Linked DNA regions of Drosophila melanogaster. The protein of the gene in region 2 interacts with the protein of the main gene of each other region in a pairwise test. Each region holds a gene or a part of one and is shown on either strand. Other genes may lie near its edges. The genes, in order: CG1894, Vps4 and CG15602.

Evidence for each region.
Region 1: the proteins of Vps4 (region 2) and CG1894 interact in a two-hybrid assay, tested with the Drosophila melanogaster proteins (one large-scale study listed by BioGRID).
Region 3: the proteins of Vps4 (region 2) and CG15602 interact in a two-hybrid assay, tested with the Drosophila melanogaster proteins (one large-scale study listed by BioGRID).

The regions. Positions count from the first base shown.
Region 1 is NT_033777.3:28,481,653-28,487,398, reverse strand, and holds CG1894 (uncharacterized protein), read right to left. Parts: upstream 2,843-5,746; 5' UTR 2,748-2,842; coding exon 2,643-2,747; intron 2,562-2,642; coding exon 1,401-2,561; 3' UTR 1,337-1,400; downstream 1-1,336.
Region 2 is NC_004354.4:17,905,845-17,913,348, forward strand, and holds Vps4 (vacuolar protein sorting 4), read left to right. Parts: upstream 1-1,847; 5' UTR 1,848-2,007; intron 2,008-2,729; 5' UTR 2,730-2,733; coding exon 2,734-2,869; intron 2,870-2,963; coding exon 2,964-3,825; intron 3,826-3,936; coding exon 3,937-4,165; intron 4,166-4,233; coding exon 4,234-4,335; 3' UTR 4,336-5,253; downstream 5,254-7,504. Other genes in the region: Gss2 (glutathione synthetase 2), read left to right, coding at 1-33; CG7772 (uncharacterized protein), read right to left, coding at 331-493, 809-1,034, 1,108-1,213.
Region 3 is NC_004354.4:15,797,143-15,802,672, forward strand, and holds CG15602 (uncharacterized protein), read left to right. Parts: upstream 1-2,283; 5' UTR 2,284-2,531; coding exon 2,532-2,579; intron 2,580-2,650; coding exon 2,651-2,895; intron 2,896-2,953; coding exon 2,954-3,431; intron 3,432-3,496; coding exon 3,497-3,754; 3' UTR 3,755-3,819; downstream 3,820-5,530. Other genes in the region: sordd2 (suppression of retinal degeneration disease 1 upon overexpression 2), read right to left, coding at 111-229, 295-461, 525-1,090; PGRP-LE (peptidoglycan recognition protein LE), read right to left, coding at 4,109-4,468, 4,541-4,605, 4,821-4,934, 4,998-5,297, 5,367-5,530.

The DNA.
Region 1 (5,746 bases), on a different chromosome or scaffold from region 2:
TGCTCTCTTTTGGTTGTTTGGCTGCCACGTCGGCGTCTTCGCGCGGCTGAACATCAAACGTTTGCCTTGATTTCGCAGGATTTCTCGTTACAAACAGGATCTCTCGTCCTCCCACTTGGATGCCAACTTGGTGGATGCCCAACCACCTTTCCGTTTTTGTTGTTCTTTCAATCAATTTCAGCTGCCTCGCTGTGCAGTTTGGTTTCGCTTCCGCCACAGAGTGCTGGTGTATTTACTCCCGGGCGTCTGAAAATCCTTTTGTGTATCCCAGGACAACAGTTGCGGCTGCAGCTACGGCAATGGCCAATGCCAGCCGTCTAAAAACCAAATATGGAATGCCTTGAAATGTTGTCTTTGGGCCACACTGTTCAGATATACAGGTACACAATTTGTTAACGGCGTTTGATGAAAGTTATTTCCATTTCCCTGACGAAAATATAGCAGGGCTGCTTTGATTAAAGCTGTCGAATAATAATAACGACGTTGCTTAAATTGTTTATGCTGCTTGTTTTGATTCCATTTCCCGGCTATGTTGCTGGTTGCCTTGACTAGCTGTTGTTAGGGCAACCCAATCCTACCCAACTCAGCCCAGTCCAACTATCCCCAACCCATCCGATTTAATGTAATTTCTGGTACCCCCCTTCCGGTTACCTGTCAGCCGCACTTGCAACATGCAACAGTCGAATAGCAATGCCAGAGCATTGTGGGCCCTTTGAATGCACCAACGCAACACAACACATCCCAACCAATCCCCTGCCAAGTTATAGAGCTCACGCCGTTGCGTAAACAAAACACGCAGCCCTGACTTAATGGCTATGCACATTAGCAACGTGCCAGGGACTTTCCCAGTTGCCAGGTCTCCGGGTCCAGGTCAAGTAGCCCCGTAGCCCCCTTGGCTCCTGGGAAGCGGCGGACGTGGAACGATGGCCACGCTCAATAAGTGTATGGGACCATAAATGGAAATATTTACTCGGCACCGTCAACACGGCAAAGTGAGTTGAGTGAGGCTGTGGGTTAAGTAAGTGCAAGTGCAAAAGTCAACTTTGCCCGGATCTCAAATTGCCTAACAACCGACTGCCAGGCTCTTTGACGACTTCACTTAAAGTGCATGTGCCGTTGCTACCATAAAAGTTGCGCAATCAAACTTCGCAGCCACTTCAATGGGCTTGAGGAATCAGTTCCATGGGATGTCATCGATTTTTCATTAATACCTGGATTTTACCTAATTTCCGCAGGCCTTGAATTTTGATTATCTCGCTAATGTGATTTTTATTTTAGACTGTCTAAGGTACACCGCAAAAAATAAAATAAGATAAGGACATTCTTGTAGATGAGTGCAATCAGTTTACTAGTGTAAATTGTTGGCATACAAAGTGGCATACATATATCATGAAAATGTTCTACTTTCGTCCTGTGGGTGTCTTCCAGGAGAGGCGATTCCTGTGAATGGTCAACCTCGGCTTTTTAAACTGTGCGAGCCCACGGCGATCTTCAATTATCGATGAAGTAGTGTAGAACATGATGTGGTCAACCTTGTAGTACTTCGTCATCCCCATAAATTCTAAAGTGCTTATTATGTCCTCCTCGCGGAAGCCAGTCGCTTTGCTCAGCTCTTCGATGGTCACCAGGTCCGGTGATGAGTGGTGCCTCAGCAGATTGAGGAGGATGTGGCCCCAATAGCTGAGGTAACAAAGTCTGGCAACTTTCGACAGCGGCTTCTTGGGACCTCCGATGCATGCCTCCCTGCGAGAGATCTCGTAGCTCAGATCAATCAACAACTTTCCGTATCCCTTGCGCATATAGGGCGGTAAAACAAGGATGCAATTCAGGTTGATATTCAGCATAGTCTTCTCCCTGGCGAAGTAACCTGCAAAGTGCTCGCCATCCTTGTCCTTCAAACACAGGATATAAAACAAGAACGAACTCGAGCTGTAAAGAATTTTCTTGTTTTCCAGAAAGAGCTTTGACATTAGGCAGAGGCACTGGCAATACAGCTGCTCCTTATGGCCATCGACCTCGTAGATATAAATATTGTCTTTTCGGTATAACAAGCTGCCCGGCGGACACCTCTTCTTGCAATCGTATAGGTGGTAGGAGTAACTTTTCCGCAAGCACATGTATTTTAGGCAGAATTCACAAACGTAAATGGTGGTCGCCTTGTCGTTTATTACAGGATAGGGACTGGAAGACGTGGTCTCGATCTCGTAACGCCCAAATTGCACCTTTTCGATGTTTCTTATGACTTTCACTTTCGCGTCCTCTTTCTCTTTCTGGACATCACTTTTTTCATTATCTATTGTCTCCTGGCGCTGGCGATCATCCACATTGCTACTGGCATTAGTGTGTAATAAAGAAATCATATTAGGTTCCTTGACGCCTTCCAATTGCTTCTTCGGTGTAGCCCCTATTCTTTGAGCTTCGATGCACGATCCAGTAATGGTTTTAGTTTCCTGAATGTTTTTTTGAAGAGATGAATCGTTCTGAAGCTGGGATTTCCCCATTTCGGACTTAGAAGCACTTTGGCCTAAACCGCGAGTCGCGGAGGATTCCTTGGCATTAGTCTGAAGAGTGGCAAAAAAAAAATAAATTATCAGCAGTTTTTCATTCCTCATATGATATTCTTTGACCAGTATTGTTCTTACCAATTGCAGGGCTCTCGGAATGTCCGGCAATTTCGAACTTATCCCGTCCTGATCGCCCAACGGCTGATACTTTAAATGGTCACCTGATCTGTTTTCCTTGTCCATTTGTCAATTCCTATTGCGAATTTCACCCTTTTTAGAAAGCGTGGTTTTTCACTAGTGATGACACATTTAGCTTGATATCGATTAGTGATATCAATAATGAAACGATAAAGTTTGTTGTCAAAAAATCGAATCATCTAAGGAAGCACCAATATCAAAGCATTAAAGTTATTTTTAAATTTTAATTCCAATTTAACTTTCTGAACATATATTGAGCAAAAATATATATTATACAATAAGTTGTATACATTTTTTTCAGTGAGAAAACATTTCGGGATATAATCTCAGTCCTACGCCACACCCTGCTACCTTGATCTATCGAAGACGCCAGTGCAGGGACAACCCGGCTCAATACTAATTAAAATAAATGAACATTTACGTCGTCACAGCAGGTGGATGTGAGGGCGAGAGGCCAGGAGACCGGGCGAAAGATTAGGTGACGAGCCCGGGCCAACGGGAGACATCATTAAAATGCATGGTTCAAACGGTGCGTATACTTAATATAGATTGGATTGAGAGTGTGTGGATGGCGGGATGGGGGGGGGGGGGGGGTTCTAGCAGGATGGAAAGCTCCTGGATGAGTTGGCTCCTTTTGCTACAGCATTCGCTTGCGGTGGCTGTAATCTTTATGCGCCATGTTTTTATTTGTATTTATTATTGCGTTTGCGGAGAGCAGAGTAGCGAAGAGCACACTTTGTTTGCAGGTGAAATATTCCACGCATCCAGCGAAATGAGAATTTATTGACTTCACTCTGCATATGTGCGTGTGTCTGTGTGTGTGTGCCTTTTCTATAAGAGTCTCTGTTTGCGTACACGTAAAAATATTATAGCGATTTGATATATAGCTTTGTGCTGCAAAATATCTATGCGCTGCAGAAATATAAAAATGTCATGTCTCTACTAGAGAATATTACACAAAAATGATTAAAATTATATACATACTTCGAATCTCATTAAAATCAAACACTTTTTATTGCTGTGCTGCTTCGTTTCCGCTTGAAACGTGCCCCCACTGCATATTTATCTACGTCACACAAGTTTGATAAACACAACCATGGCTTCGAGACAACTCGAACGTCTGTTTGCATTTGTGCTTAATAACTTTTAAATGATGCGGGGAATGCCTTTGAAAACGAAGTCAACTGAAAGGAGGTTCCTGGGCCCCGGAGTCATACTCCCTAATTAGAGCCGTAGAGTCGTAGGTGTGTGCAGAACTATTCAAACAGGCCAAAGAAGTCGAGCTAACTTGAAGCTTAAATATTTTTAATAAAAATTCTTTTGTTATTTCGATATGTTTAAAGCACAGCACAGCTTCTTGTTAATGTATATATACATATACAATATTCTAATCCCAGCTTAATTTCACGCCTCCAAGCTTTTTGGTTCCTTGTTATTACTCGATACCATCAGTCTTATAAAAATATTAAGGCCAATGTTTGGGCTGGTAGCTCTGGATCGATACCTATTAGCCCTTGACCTGTACGGTGAAGATAAGCGCTGGGCTCCCAATGGGCTTTGCGAAACGGTTTCCATGGGGCCACGTAGTGTTGGGTGGGTTTGGACGGGCTTTTGTTTAGCCAGCTGAACATTTGGAAAATGGTTACAAACAGTTTTGAATGCCCATAATTGATGCAGGAGGAGCATGCCCAGAGCCCGGCAATCGCACTTCAATATGCATGCCAGTGTGCACTGAATACCCAGTTCCAAGTTACCATCCGGTTGGAATCAAACCAAGTGTGGTCAGGCGTCTCTGCTGGGCTGCCGGATGCAAAGCCGGAATAGTGGTCGGTCGGGTTGCGTTAATTAATAAACTGGGCCTACTTTAAGACGACGCCTGCGTTGGCCAATTGCCATGGCATCCATGCAGTCGGGCAACTAGGCAACTAGGCAGTCGAGCCGTAACCGCAACAACTTCAATGCAGTTTTGTCTGCCACAAAGCCGAATTTCAGTAACTGGCAGAGATTGCATCCTTTGCGGATACTTAACGAGTCGACGCCTGAGGAACGGTCCAATCCCAAACTGATGCCCTCAAAGCCGTATAATTGGCCAGCGATGCGCCATCATCGCCGGCATGGACTCGATCGATTCCTTTGAGCATTAGCCAAATGCCGCATTTTTGAAGTAATAAAGCACAGGTCAATCTCAGTTGTGGTTGCAGCCATATCAAATCGCACGAGTCCACAGGAATTTGGAAGCTATTTGTGCCACTAGCAGTATGTTAATATAACACACAAGTGATGCTCAAAACAGGCTCTTCGTTAGCCAATTCCAGCTGAGTTAATCAACTTTAACTGCACCTTCATATACTAGGGATGCCTTTAGTTGATAAAGGTTTGTTAATTAGATTTTGATTCGTTTGTTGCTTTTCTTTCCCGCGAATTCATTGAACCCAAGTTTTGCAACGACTTGTGTGACCATTTGGCTTGGTTACCCTCGTTCTGAATCATTTGGAATGCCCTTTAGTGCGCAGGCTAATTAACATAGTCTGATTGCTGAGTCAGTTCCATTTACGTCTGTTAAAATCCTTCTGAAAATGGAAAAGTTTTGAGAAAAAATGTAGCGTTGTCTTCAACAATATTATTCAACATTTTAGCCACCACCCAGCCACCTCATTCGCATAAGCAAAGTCAAGTTTTTGGCCAGAGTTGCAAAGTTTTTTGACTGGCTCAAGTTTTATCATATTTTTGCACAGGCAAATCTCAGCGAATAAGTCTCCGTTGCTCCGACTCTCGGTTCAATTTGCATACAGAGTTCGAGCATTATTTTTATTTACCTGATTCAGCGCTGATTTATGATTTTATCGTGAAAAATGCAGAGCTGCGGCGGACGAAGGACTACGAAGACGACAAGGACGTGGACGTGGATGTGGTGGAGAGCGAAGCTCACGGAAAGTCAATTGAAATGCAAACGTGGCCAGTGGTTGCCTTCCGGTGTCCGCGTTGCTGGGTGTCCGGGTGTTCGGAAGTGGATCCCAAGCTCCTCCTCCTGCCTCCATTGTTTG
Region 2 (7,504 bases):
ATCGATAGCGATGACGAGGATGAGCAGAAGTAGGATCCTTTAACGAGATAAAGGCTTCGAACGCCGGCATTCCACCTGTTGCCTCAGTCTTGTATAAATGATTATTTTTGTAAAGCGTATTGTAAATTTTTTGCACTATTTTTTCCCCGTCCCAATGTCAATAAATAAAATGTTAAACTAGAAATTCTGGTCAATATGCAAACTGGATTTGGGGCTAAAGCTTTGCTACAGTTCATGTAAACTCTTAGTATCTAAGAACTATCACCGTGGAGTAGAATGGGAGTAGACTTGGAGTTGGGCCAATGCTGTGCACATCCCAGCTAGCGTTCACTACCGCACCGTCTTGCGGTAGGTGGCGTCCATCAGGCGGTCAACCATGCTGTCAATGGGATGGATGATAAGCGGTATGCTGGCCAGACCCACCAGGGTGGGCACCGTCTTTAGCACGGGCATAGGCGCTTTGCTCAGCAGTGTTTTGGTGGCCCAGGTGATCCTAAAACGATATAAATGAGCATTGCTTATTATGTGAACATAAACTCATAAAAATGGGTATGATCTTGGAGAGAACGATGACTTCATCGTGTATCTACAAATATACAATAAACCTGTTTTTGCAACATTGCACATGCCATTCTACTACGTATATGCACTCTATAGTATAATTTTTACTATGCTTATATAAGATAAGTATTATGCAACTAATGGAAAAAGGGAATCTTTAAGACGCCTCATTCCCTACTTCCAACTATGTAAATACAACCATTAAGTCTACGTTTTTGGGCAATTTTCTGGCAAGGGTTGAACGCACCGATTGATGACCAGGCCGGGAATGGCGACGGAGGCCAGCATCTGCCAGCAGAAGACGTCGCCGCCCTTGACGGCCACTTCTCTGGAGGAAGCGCCCTCCATTTGGAGGCGCAGTGCCTTGTCAAAAGTGTCCGTGCAGACGTATCCGATGGCCATGCCGTAGGATGCGGCCACCAGAGACTTGGGCACCAGCGGGCGGAAGGACTCGCCAATCTCGTTGCTGTAGCCTGCAAAGCCGTAACAATTAAACTCATATATTTCGATGGATCTGGGCAGATTCTGCTTGGGAGGAACACTCACCCATATAGCGAATGAAGGTGTCCCGGTAGATGTCCACCTCCTTCAAAGACGTGGAAGTTTTCTTGGTGCCCTTATCCCGGCGGATGAACTGTTTGTCCTCCGACATTGTCTATTTTTTTTATTTTTATTTTTTATTTTTGGAATGGCAGAAGTTCTAATGCTATTTTGATTTTCGAGTAATTGGGTAATATGACAAGATGATCTGATCTTCTCCAACTGACGCAAAATCAGCTGGCAACTGAGTTTCCTAAAAATTCATTGAAATCGCTTAAAATATCGCTTTAAATAAAATAATTAAAGCGCCTAACTGCCTATAAATTGGAGACTTAAAAACAAACTGTTTATATAAATATTTTAATTGCGCGTATCGATAATGTATTATTGTTATCGATTGTCAGAGCTAGTGGAAAAAACGCTAAAATCAGCTATTTATGGCGATTAAAATTTATAGGAATTTATAGCAATTATGAAATATCATATATTAGTTTTTATATTGTATTCGTTTTTTAATGAGCTAAGTCCATTTAATATCGCTTGCTATACACTTAATCATATAACATATGAGTTCCGAACTCTTTTAAGTTAAATAAAGTAATGTGAACAAATTGTCATATTGTCACATATGTGAATTTATTAGAGCTGGATTTTTGGCTACACTTTCAAAAACCGCGCCAAGTAATTTCACCTTTCCATGTGTGACCATTGCAGCTGCACCGCAATCTAAGGCCCAGCCCGCGCTGTGGTCACACTGACAAATAAAAAAAAACAAGACGTCGTCATTCGCGTTGGAATTCCAACAAAATAGTTAAGTTTTCCTTTTGTTTAACACCTGTCGAGTTAGCCAGCGAGTTAGTCAGTGACGCTTGCCGGAATTCCAGGAGCAAGTCAGCCAGCATAAATGTGAGTAATGGTCGGAACTGACCCGCCATCCCCTCCGCAGCCGCCCCGCAAAAAGTTGGCTACTTGTGTTTTTGTCAATGCCGCTGTATTCGGGCATTAGTCATGCCCAGAAATTCGATTTTGCTCGCGAACTGCGTCACCGAAGGACACTGAGTAGCAAGATGGGAGTTACTACTCCGCCAAGGATCAATTGGGTAACCATCGTCATCGGCCTGGCCAGCGAAACTCACGCCGAGATGATAGATTCCCAAGGGGAGGGGGGCTATTACAGCCCGAAATATATCAAAATTCTATGGAATCATTATGCTCGGGAAGTTTGGCATTACAATATGAGTTATAGAATCGTTTTGGATAGTGAGTGTAAAGCAATCAAAGGATATAAACAAAGCTGGGATCAGATCCAGTTGATTTTGCATAAATCGATATTGTAACTATATTTTTAGAACCTGTTTAATAACTTTATTTTGAACTTTATTCTATACATTATGCTCCATATTGCACAAATCGATTTGCCCACATATTTGTGGCATCTTTAGTTCTCTGTGTAGTAAAGTTGTAGGCTTTAAAATATGACAACTTAACTCTAAGCTGAGCAGAAATGATTAGAAAGCGGAAATTAAGATGATAAAATCCATAAGTAGTCCACGTTAAGCCTTGGTGGATAGTTCCTCCCATCAAAATGCCAGTTGAAATAATGATGTGTGAACGTTTGTAACTTCCAGCACCATGGCAGCCGGTACCACACTACAGAAGGCCATCGATCTGGTGACCAAGGCCACCGAGGAGGATCGAAATAAGAACTACGCGGAGGCACTGCGTCTGTATGAGCACGGGGTGGAGTACTTCCTGCACACCATCAAATGTAAGCAGTCCCATTAGTGCATCTAAAATGCACTTATACTCACTGAATAGAAGCAAGCTGACTACTAACTATCAAATTACTATCTAACGAGCAGATGAGGCACAGGGCGAGAAGGCCAAGGACTCGATACGGGCCAAGTGCCTGCAGTATTTGGACCGGGCCGAGAAGCTAAAGGAGTACCTGAAGAAGGGCAAAAAGAAACCGATCAAGGAGGGTGGTGAGTCCAGCGCCAAGGACGACAAGGACAAAAAGAGCGACAGCGATGACGAGGACGGCGACGATCCCGAGAAGAAGAAGCTGCAGAGCAAGCTGGAGGACGCCATTGTCATAGAGAAGCCAAAGGTTCAGTGGTCCGATGTCGCTGGCCTGGATGCCGCCAAGGAGGCGCTGAAGGAGGCCGTTATCCTGCCGATTAAATTCCCGCAGCTCTTCACTGGCAAGCGGATTCCGTGGAAGGGCATCCTGCTGTTCGGCCCGCCCGGTACCGGTAAATCCTATCTGGCCAAGGCCGTCGCCACCGAGGCCAATCGCTCCACATTCTTCTCGGTGTCCAGTTCGGATCTGATGTCCAAGTGGCTGGGCGAGTCCGAGAAGCTGGTCAAGAATCTCTTCGAACTGGCCCGCCAGCACAAGCCCTCCATTATCTTCATTGACGAGATCGATTCGATGTGCTCGGCGAGATCGGACAACGAGAACGACAGCGTGCGACGCATCAAGACCGAGTTTCTGGTGCAGATGCAGGGCGTGGGCAATGACACCGATGGCATTCTCGTTCTCGGCGCCACAAACATACCGTGGGTCCTCGACTCGGCCATTCGCCGTCGATTCGAGAAGCGCATCTACATTCCGCTGCCGGAGGCGCATGCCCGCCTCGTCATGTTCAAGATCCATCTGGGCAACACCACGCACGTGCTCACCGAGCAGGATCTCAAGGAGTTGGCCGGCAAAACCGAGGGGTAAATGCACTTTATAAACTATTTGCTTCACTATCACACAAAATTGATCCATTGTTTATAATGTTTATATGTAAGCATATTTAACTAAGTGAATGATTTTCCGTTTTGCAGCTACTCTGGCGCGGATATATCAATCGTTGTGCGCGATGCGCTGATGGAACCCGTGAGGAAAGTGCAGACCGCCACGCATTTCAAGCGGGTATCCGGTCCGAGTCCCACCAACCACGAGGAGATTGTCAACGATTTGCTGGTTCCGTGCTCACCTGGCGACCAGGGCGCCGTCGAGATGAACTGGATGGATGTGCCCAGCGACAAGCTCTTCGAACCGCCCGTGACCATGGTACGGCATCCTTAGCTATCAACCTTTTTTCGCAGTGCCAATAATCTTTCTTGAACTTCTACATCCAGCGCGACATGCTGAAGTCCTTGTCCCGCACGAAACCGACCGTCAACGAAGACGATCTGAAGAAGCTGCGCAAATTCACAGAGGACTTTGGGCAGGAGGGCTAGACACGAACCCCGCCAGATATCGTCAGCACCACCAGCTAATTCTAATTGTTGCCTATTGCATAAATTCAAACACGTTTTACTTCTGGCTCTCCTTAAACATTTTTTTTATTTTATATATATATATAATGTATACATACGATATATGGTTAAAATTTAATTCAAATTTGTCGTTCGATTGCAACCGGAGATGAAGGACATGCAGTGAGCGTGAAGCGGGTGGATCTGTGGATTGTTGTAATCACAAAGTCAATGTATTTTTGTACTCTTAATGTTAAGCGACGGAAGAAACCCGATATCCAGCCTGAAGTTTGAAACCTAATGTAATATGAGTGTCCGCCGCGCTTGCGCAATATTTGCCACTCGGACTTGCCACGGACACCTCAGATCAGAGCAGCACCAATCAGCGGAGGAGCTGGAGCTAGAGCTGTAGAAGCAGAAGGAGAAGAAGGAGCAGAAGCAGGAGCAGTTTGCGGAGTTTAAGCGCAGTCGAGCAAACCTATTTAACTTGTAACGTACCAGAAATAAAAACGAAAATTGTATACCATGTATGACGACGTAGCGGGAATGCCAATTGCCAGTGGAATCGTCGCGGGGATTCCCCGCCGCCGCAAGTGACCCCATTTCAAAGTGAGCCACCAGGTGGGTGGGTGGCCGGTGGACGGAATGGAGAAACTGAGCGCCGAGAGTATCAGCGGCAGAATGCGAGAGTCTCAGCCGTCTGGCCCACATGCCAAGTGCGATAAGATCTTTCCAGCTCACCAGCATATGTGCGCTTGTTCCTGGCCGATCGACCAGATATCGAGCATACTGCGAGCTGCGCACAGTGGGCAATGACCTATTTGTATGGAGCAAACTAAAAGAAACCTACTGATGCCATAGTTGAAATATTTTTATAACACAAAAATTGCATTTCTCTGTTGCTGCTCTTCCTTTGCATTGGTTCTTTATATATATATATTTTTTTTTAAATATTTTTCCCTTTTCCCTAGTTTTAAGCATTTAAGTCCATCGAAAATAAATGCTATAAAAATGAAAATATCTTTATTTTATAGCGTTGCTTTAAGTAGATTGATTTGTAATATTTGAGACATTTTGAATGTAGTTTTTTAGTATGAATTATTATGTTATTTCCTATTGTAAGCTTTTTGCCCATCAGCTCCACTGTGCGCTGCCGAATGCTGCCGAGCAGTGATTGTGCTCTTCGGCTCTTCGACTTCGCCTTCGGATCGCTGGGTTTTCGCGTTCGGTTCGTGAGTTTTGAGCCGTGCTTTGAGCCAGAGTTTCAGTTGATCTTCGGCCGCAAAGGCTAGAGGTTTGAATATTGTGGGATCGGTCCGCTATAGGTTTTTCGCTATATTTCGCCCGCACATCGGCAGTTCCGTTACGTGAGTGCAGCGCCGTCGTCTGCGCTGCATGAGGCCAAAGATACAAGCCGAAAAGATACAGATACACGGCGACAACGTTTCTCGGTTGGTTTTGCGCAACTTTGTGAAAAGCGTGATAGAGCCCAGATACGAAAAAAAAGTGCGTATTTGTTGTGATTTGTTTTTGTTTGCGTTTGGCGTGCAAGTGACATTTGTTTTTCCAAGGTGCATTAATTACCTGGCTCAGGGGCCTGGCCCTTACCTTACACACCTTATTTTAGCTCTTTTTTTTAAAGTGCGGTCTGTGGTGCACAAAGGAAAATATTCATTATTTATCACGATATAAAATAATGTCCTGCTTATTCAATAAGTATCAGCATTTTTTAAATGTTTTTTTTTTAATAAGAATTAATTTTTACGTTGGCTTATAACTTTGTGGATTTTGTATCGTAAATCGTTTTGCAGCATGGTTTTCATTAAATAAAGTGTTACTAAAATGTAGCATTCCTATCTTCTGTGTTGTATGTTGCTTTAAGCTTCTAAATCAGTAATATTTTAATATTTAATTAGTATTAATATATTTACATAAATTTGAGATACTGCAAGTAGCGTAGATGCTGATGCTAGTAGCATTTAGTGGATTTAAAGGAGCGCTGTTGGAAGGGTCAACCAAAGTGGGCAGGCGTTTCTCGCAGTGCACATGGGCTGCTGCTGCTGCTGCTGCCCCGACGAAGCGCAACTTTCACGCGCTTCAGGTGAAAACCGTGAGCCGGGTCTCAAATGAGCGAAATGAAGAAGAAGTCGAGTTAAAGCCGCACAGCAGCCGAACTCTCATGATTTGTTGTTGTTTTCGGTGTTGTTATTATTGGTAAGGTTGATGCTGTTGTTGCCGATGTGACTCTGTTTTTTCCCCCACATTCGCATTGTTTTAACCATTTGTTTCTTGGTTTTTTTTTTTTTTTTGCGTGCTTCACTTTGTGTTTTCGGCTACTGTTTTTTGTGTCAGTCGCCGTTTTGCGAAACTATTTCAGAAATGCATATTTCTTGCGGCTCAAATGTGTGTGTCCAACTGACTGAGTTATGCGCACGAAGAGCCTTTCATCATCATTGTGGCCACTAGCAGTTTTCTTCCAGTGTTCCACTGCTTGCACTTCTCGCACTGCACTGCTTGCATCCAGTTTGTTTGGTTTTTCTTTTGGCCACCAGGTGCATATTATGCATTATTCGATTAAACTTGTTTGCAGACGCACTGACATCAACACCTGACCTCCCCCCGCCCCCAGCCCCTTGTGGATCAGAAAAAAACTTTAAATCATGCTGACATTGACACGAATTGTCGCCGCCAGCAACAACTGAAAAAAAAAACTCCAAGAGCCAACAAACAAAAGTCAAATCATACAATTTAAAGTTGAGTTCCAAGCAAAACTGCCAACTTAAAATTTATGACTAAGATCTGTGGTGCGCGCTCCAAAATTAAAGTGCATAAAATTCCATCAATGCCACTGCTGGCCAACAGCAATGAATTATATTAATTTGGCTTACAAATTTGTATTTGGTCAAGTCAGTGGCACATTGCACCGCAAGAAAATTGTGCACATAAAGGGGTAGTTTCGATTTTAATCATATGCCATTTTGCTTCACTAACTGATGTTTTATTATGCAAATTTAGCTAAGTGGCTTTTATCACATTGATCTTGCAGGCAGTTGATACAGTTGCAGTTGCAACAAAGTTTCAACTCAAATTATATCGAAAACAAATGGAAAGGGCTAAAAACAATTAAGGAATATACTGCAACTATTTCTTT
Region 3 (5,530 bases), 2.1 Mb from region 2:
CACCAACGACTATAGCCCAACGAGTTTAACAATATTGTTGATTTAACTGGAGGATACTGCTATTTGATTACTTCGCACGCTTTCCATTGACATTTGAATATAGGTTCTTCTTATCGGGATGATCCGTGCACTATTGGAACGAGCAGCCCATATATCACAAAAACGACAAAATGCCAGAACAGTTTTGACAGGGCCCAGGGTTCATCTTCGTGTAGCCTTCTAATATCAGCTAAATACATGGGCAAATGTTATTTAATGTCAATCTCAGAACTATTGAGATGGCATGTAACCTACCAGGTGGACGTGGTTCGAAAAAGTTGAGCCTAGATGTTATGAACCCGAAAGGAAAAGCTCCAATACCGAAAGACATGTGAAATCCGTCGCCGAATCCGAATCCAGGGAACCCGGGAACAGGATCTGGTTCTGTACGTTGTCCAGCGGGGCGTGGTGGAACTTTGTTACTGCAAAACACATATAAGTTGGGTTATTGAAAAATACTCATGTTGAAAGCGGTTCAAACCTACCGTGGATCTTCCTGGTGTGTACTATTTCTTCCGTACAGCGGTATGACCTTATCCTTATCAACGGCAGCCTTACAAACGGGACAGAGTTTGCGATTGGGACGCGTCAGGAGCCACTGATGCAGGCACGGCCAGCAGAACAGATGGCCGCACATGCTGACCACAGCATCCTTGGCGGTGTCCAGGCATATGTTGCACTCGTAGAGTGAGTCGTCTGCGGTATGTTCCTTCTCCTTGTCCTTTTCGTTGGCTTTTGTGTCCGTATCGGTGCCGCCGAATGGATAGCCACCCTTCAGATCGGCCTTATTGCCACCAGATAGATAGTCTCCAGTAAAGGAATACGAAGTGTTGGACTTCTTCAGTTCCGATGCCGTCGAATTGGTTGGAATCGAGGTACCCAGCGGGCGCAATTGACTTGTAGATGACTCCTCAGCCAAGGGTTCTGTGATATCCCGAGTCCAGGCTATCTTGTCGTAGCTCACGTTGTTGGACAAAGTCGATGAGGACGACGATGCCCCGGTTGATGTGCTGGGAAGCTCCGCTGTGGATACACTTTTCGGTTCCTCCATGGTTTGCCCAAGATGCGGGTAAAGTTTTAGTCGTTCAAGCTGCAACGTAACGTTGGATGATTTAGAAACCCAAATTTGCTAAGTAAGTCTGTGTTCACCCTATTGACAAGTGCCTAGATTGCTTAGATGATTTTCCTAGGCCATTTCTGGTGTACAACTAAGGTCCGCACTTTCTTGAATATGACTTAATTTAATTAAATACTTCAAGCGCAGTTTGAAGGGGGTTTCCCCCGAGTTCCGCAGCATTCAGCATTTGTCCGACCCCATGGGGTGGTGTTTATGGCTACGAAAACCGCCCAAAGGGCGTATTTACCACCAAGTCTTCAAGGATAATGCACCGAACATTCCCATTGGCTGCACCCACATAAATTAAACAAAAAAGTCAAATTTTGTTTGAATTGCGTTGGCAAACAAGACGGTATACCTGCATATGTACCTGGACTTATGTGCGTACTTATGTACACATCTACACACTCAAACACTCGCGTGTATATAGGGCTAGAAGGTTTCCATCTACCTGTTACATATGTACATTGGAACCGATTATATGCTTATTTATACAGTACGTATAGATGTCACATAATGTTTTCATGGAGCACTTCCTATTGGAGTCAAGGGGAATTATATGCTCATATACATCGAGTTCCAGGGATTGCGTTTAAACGCATTATAACTTAATTAAACTATATATAACTTCCTGTGGCACAGCAAATAGTATAACTTCTCAAAATTACTTACATTGTAAGTGTATTGTTTGCAAAACCTGACTTGTTTGCCCTCATTTTATTGTTTGTTTTCGCTCACTGTTTGCTTCTACTTGCCGTGCTAAGTATTGTTAAACCGAATCAGAGAATGTTGCTAAATTGATTGTGTGGACAAGTCAATCAATTGACGTCTTAGCACCTCAAAACAATTGCACTGACGATACCTGACCGAGGCCGATAGACCTTTACCCTATCGGTAAATAGCTGCCTGTATAACAGCCCGTCTCCACCGGACCAAAGTCCACGCTCGCGTTAGATAACTATCGAGTTAGGTGAAAAATCTCGGATCTCAATGAATCATTTGAAAAGTGATCAGTGATCAGTCCTCGATTGATTTGTAAACAAAATAAACTACTAAATACATTTACAAGACTAAATACTATTCATTAACAGCTGTTGTGTGCCATGGACAATCGATACCAGGACTCACTCGACTATCTCTAGTTCCTAACGATCTGGTCACAACAAAGCTCAAGAATTTAATAATATTGATATTAGACTAAACCAAAACAAGGAACAGCTGATTTTTAGAACGCTAATGCGTTTAAGTCGTAATCGATAGCTCACCCACTGTACACTGTACACCATCCCTAATTAGAACTGGCTTCTTTCAAAACAAAGCAAACGAAATTTGAAACTTTTTCAATTTATATGTTCCATTGGTGACTCTGGTTGCAATGAGCTGCTTTGGCTGCGGTCGCAAATATGGCCTATTCTGCAAGGAGGCAAGTGCCATCAAACCAAAGCAAACCAACATATATCACCTACTTACATTGTGTTAAATCCGAAATTTTAGTATGGATGCCCCAACTGCGGCTACTCATTCTGCTCCAAGTGCTTGAAGAGACCAATGCCCGTGCCCCGTCATGCAGGAAAGGTGCACAATGTGTGCCTCATATGCTACGACAAACTATCCAAACTCCAGGCGAGCGCCGATGCCGAGAAAGTTATAGACTGTGATGCTTTGCCGGGGATCTTAGTCACCAAAATGAACCTGGCTCCTCCATCCAAAAGTTCAGATGGCGCCGATGCCCTATTCAAGTAAGTAAAATACCACATTAAAACACCGATTCTGAAACTATAATTCGATTAATTGCAGCGACAGCCTGCCTGTGGAGGAGCTGCCACAGGCATTGGTTCCCAGTTCCAGTTCGTCACCACATTCCAAAGATCACAAGGATCATATTGATGAGAACCTGGACAGTGAGTTGACCAAACGAATGCAGGACTATAAACGAGTTGATGCCACCGATGATGAGATCCGCACCCGTCTGGCCAATCTCACTGGGATGCCGCATACGAAAAGCTACGATAAGAAAGATCTGCTACTGTCCACCGACCAAAGAAACGATCAGGAGAAAATGAGGGACTTGCTCGCACAATTCGTTGACGAAGCCCAACTGGATCAAAATATCAGCAGGCAGAGGGATGACTCAATTTCCGACATTGAGAGACGTCTGCGAGCTCTGCGCGATACACCCGTCGATTCCGATGCATGCCCATCGAGATCCCAGATGGAAAGTATCGCGGACAACGAAGAGGATGACGAGACACTTCTACAGAACATATTGAAAAAGGTTCGCATTTATATAGTAGCATTATTTTTTTTAAGCCAAATCATCACTTTCGTATTCCCATTCAGTATGTAGCAGAATCGCGCTTACCAGAACCTTCCGAGAGTGAAATTAGTCCAATTAACACTGAGTCGCCCGGCAACACCGAAGAATTGCCCTGGTGCAATATTTGTAACGAAGACGCCGACTTCCGATGCCACGGATGTGGTGGGGAACTCTTTTGCACTCTATGCTATAAGGAGTGCCACGATGATGACGAGGAGTACCGTGCTCACGTTAAGGAAAAGTATTCGGCTCCGCCAAAGCTTAAAGAAAATCACTTCTAATTGTTAATTGTTTACTTGACTGTACGCAAATTTTTGTTTAATTATAGATTGTTTTCAGCAAATGCATTACTATTGTCTGTATTTATGTGGTGCTAGCTCGCTCATATTTGTGCAGTATAATTGTTGCTTCTCTTTCAGTTGTGAATTAAAACAGGTAGGCGATGTTGGTTCCGAAACATCTTGTGGTTTTTCCACCTTTCAGCGCTGCAAAAACTATACCAAAATATAAAGTAACTTAACGAAACTGCCAGTAGCTGGAAAATTTATAAACAGGTGATTTAATGTTCAACATTATAAACGTAACTCGGGTGCATTTAAGTCTAAGTATGTGAAATGGTGCTCTTCTTTTGTCCCTCATTGTTCCTCCTCCTCGATATTGTAAAAGTGGGGCCATGTCTGTATCTCCTCGTACAATCGCCGACCAGGACTCTCCGTCGAATTGCACTGGCAGTGACAAATTAATCTATAGTCGGTGGATATGTGACCATCCTCAACGCCGCGGGCCAACAGATTGCGGCACATATTCAAGGCGTCTGCCGTCGGGAGTTCTTTCATGAAGCATCCAATGAAACTGATCCCCAGCGAGATCCTGTTGTAACCCAGAGTGTGGGCGCCCACCGTTTTCCATCCGCGTCCCTCGTAGATGTTGCCATCGCAGCCGACCAGGAAGTTGTACGCAATGTCATTCCATCCCCGCGACTCAATGTGGAAGCACTGAAATATATATACATAATTATTATATAGTTCGGAGCATATATGATTTAATTTCGCTAACGAAATACTTACCTGCATGTCACGGATAAGTCTTACGTTGATCGCCCGCTTTTCTGAACTCTCTGTAGCTGTGTGTACTGCGTGGTAAAACAATATTTGTTAATCAAGGTTTTAAATATATTCGAAAAGAGTTATAATACGATATAATCTTAGGTTAGTGAGTGCTAAGCATGATGGTCAGATCAAATAGTATAAATTGTTTTAATTATTGCGTCATACTTTTACAGACAACTTGATTTATAATCAGTTGGCAAAAAAATGGTTAAAACGTGCAGCAAACTTGAATACTCACAGATAACCACATATTTAACAGGCAGTTGCAAGGGCAGTGGCTCGTCCATGGGCTTCTGTGCTAGCCACGAAGAGCGCGGAATGATGGCGGACAGCTCCTTGGGTATTTTGAATTCTGTAAGTGAAATCGGTATCCTATGGTTAACGTGTATGCATCCCCTGGTGAATGATAGCTTACTCTGGCGCCTGATGAACACATCCGAGCGCACCCTCTCCTCCGACTCGTCCTGATAGTCGTCTTCGAAATGTGTCGGAGTTTTGGGAGCGTTATCTCTCGGTGGTGAAACATGCCGCCGATCTCTTCGGTTTTGAGTAAGGCCATCGGCTATGATTTGTATATTTCCATTAATATTGGTAACATTGCCGATATGGACGTTCGTGGAGTTGCTTATATTAACGTTGCCCAAAGTCTGAATGCTGTTGATCGAGTTCATAAGGTCCCTTATGGTGTCGCTGATGATCGAATGCTTTTTGGTAGCTTTAAGGTGGGGATATATTGAAAGTGTTATAAATTGAATATAGAAACTTGATCTTGAGTACTACGCACCGATTTGAGTGCCTAGTGTCATAGTGCTGATTTCTTCACTGGTATTTTGGTCGGCATCCTCCTCTTCCTCGGTATAATCGTAGTCCAAGCTGTCCACAACCGAGGACTCTGCAATGGACTCCAGTTCCTCGTCCTCCTGACTAGCCAACCATTCGCGAGTCCGC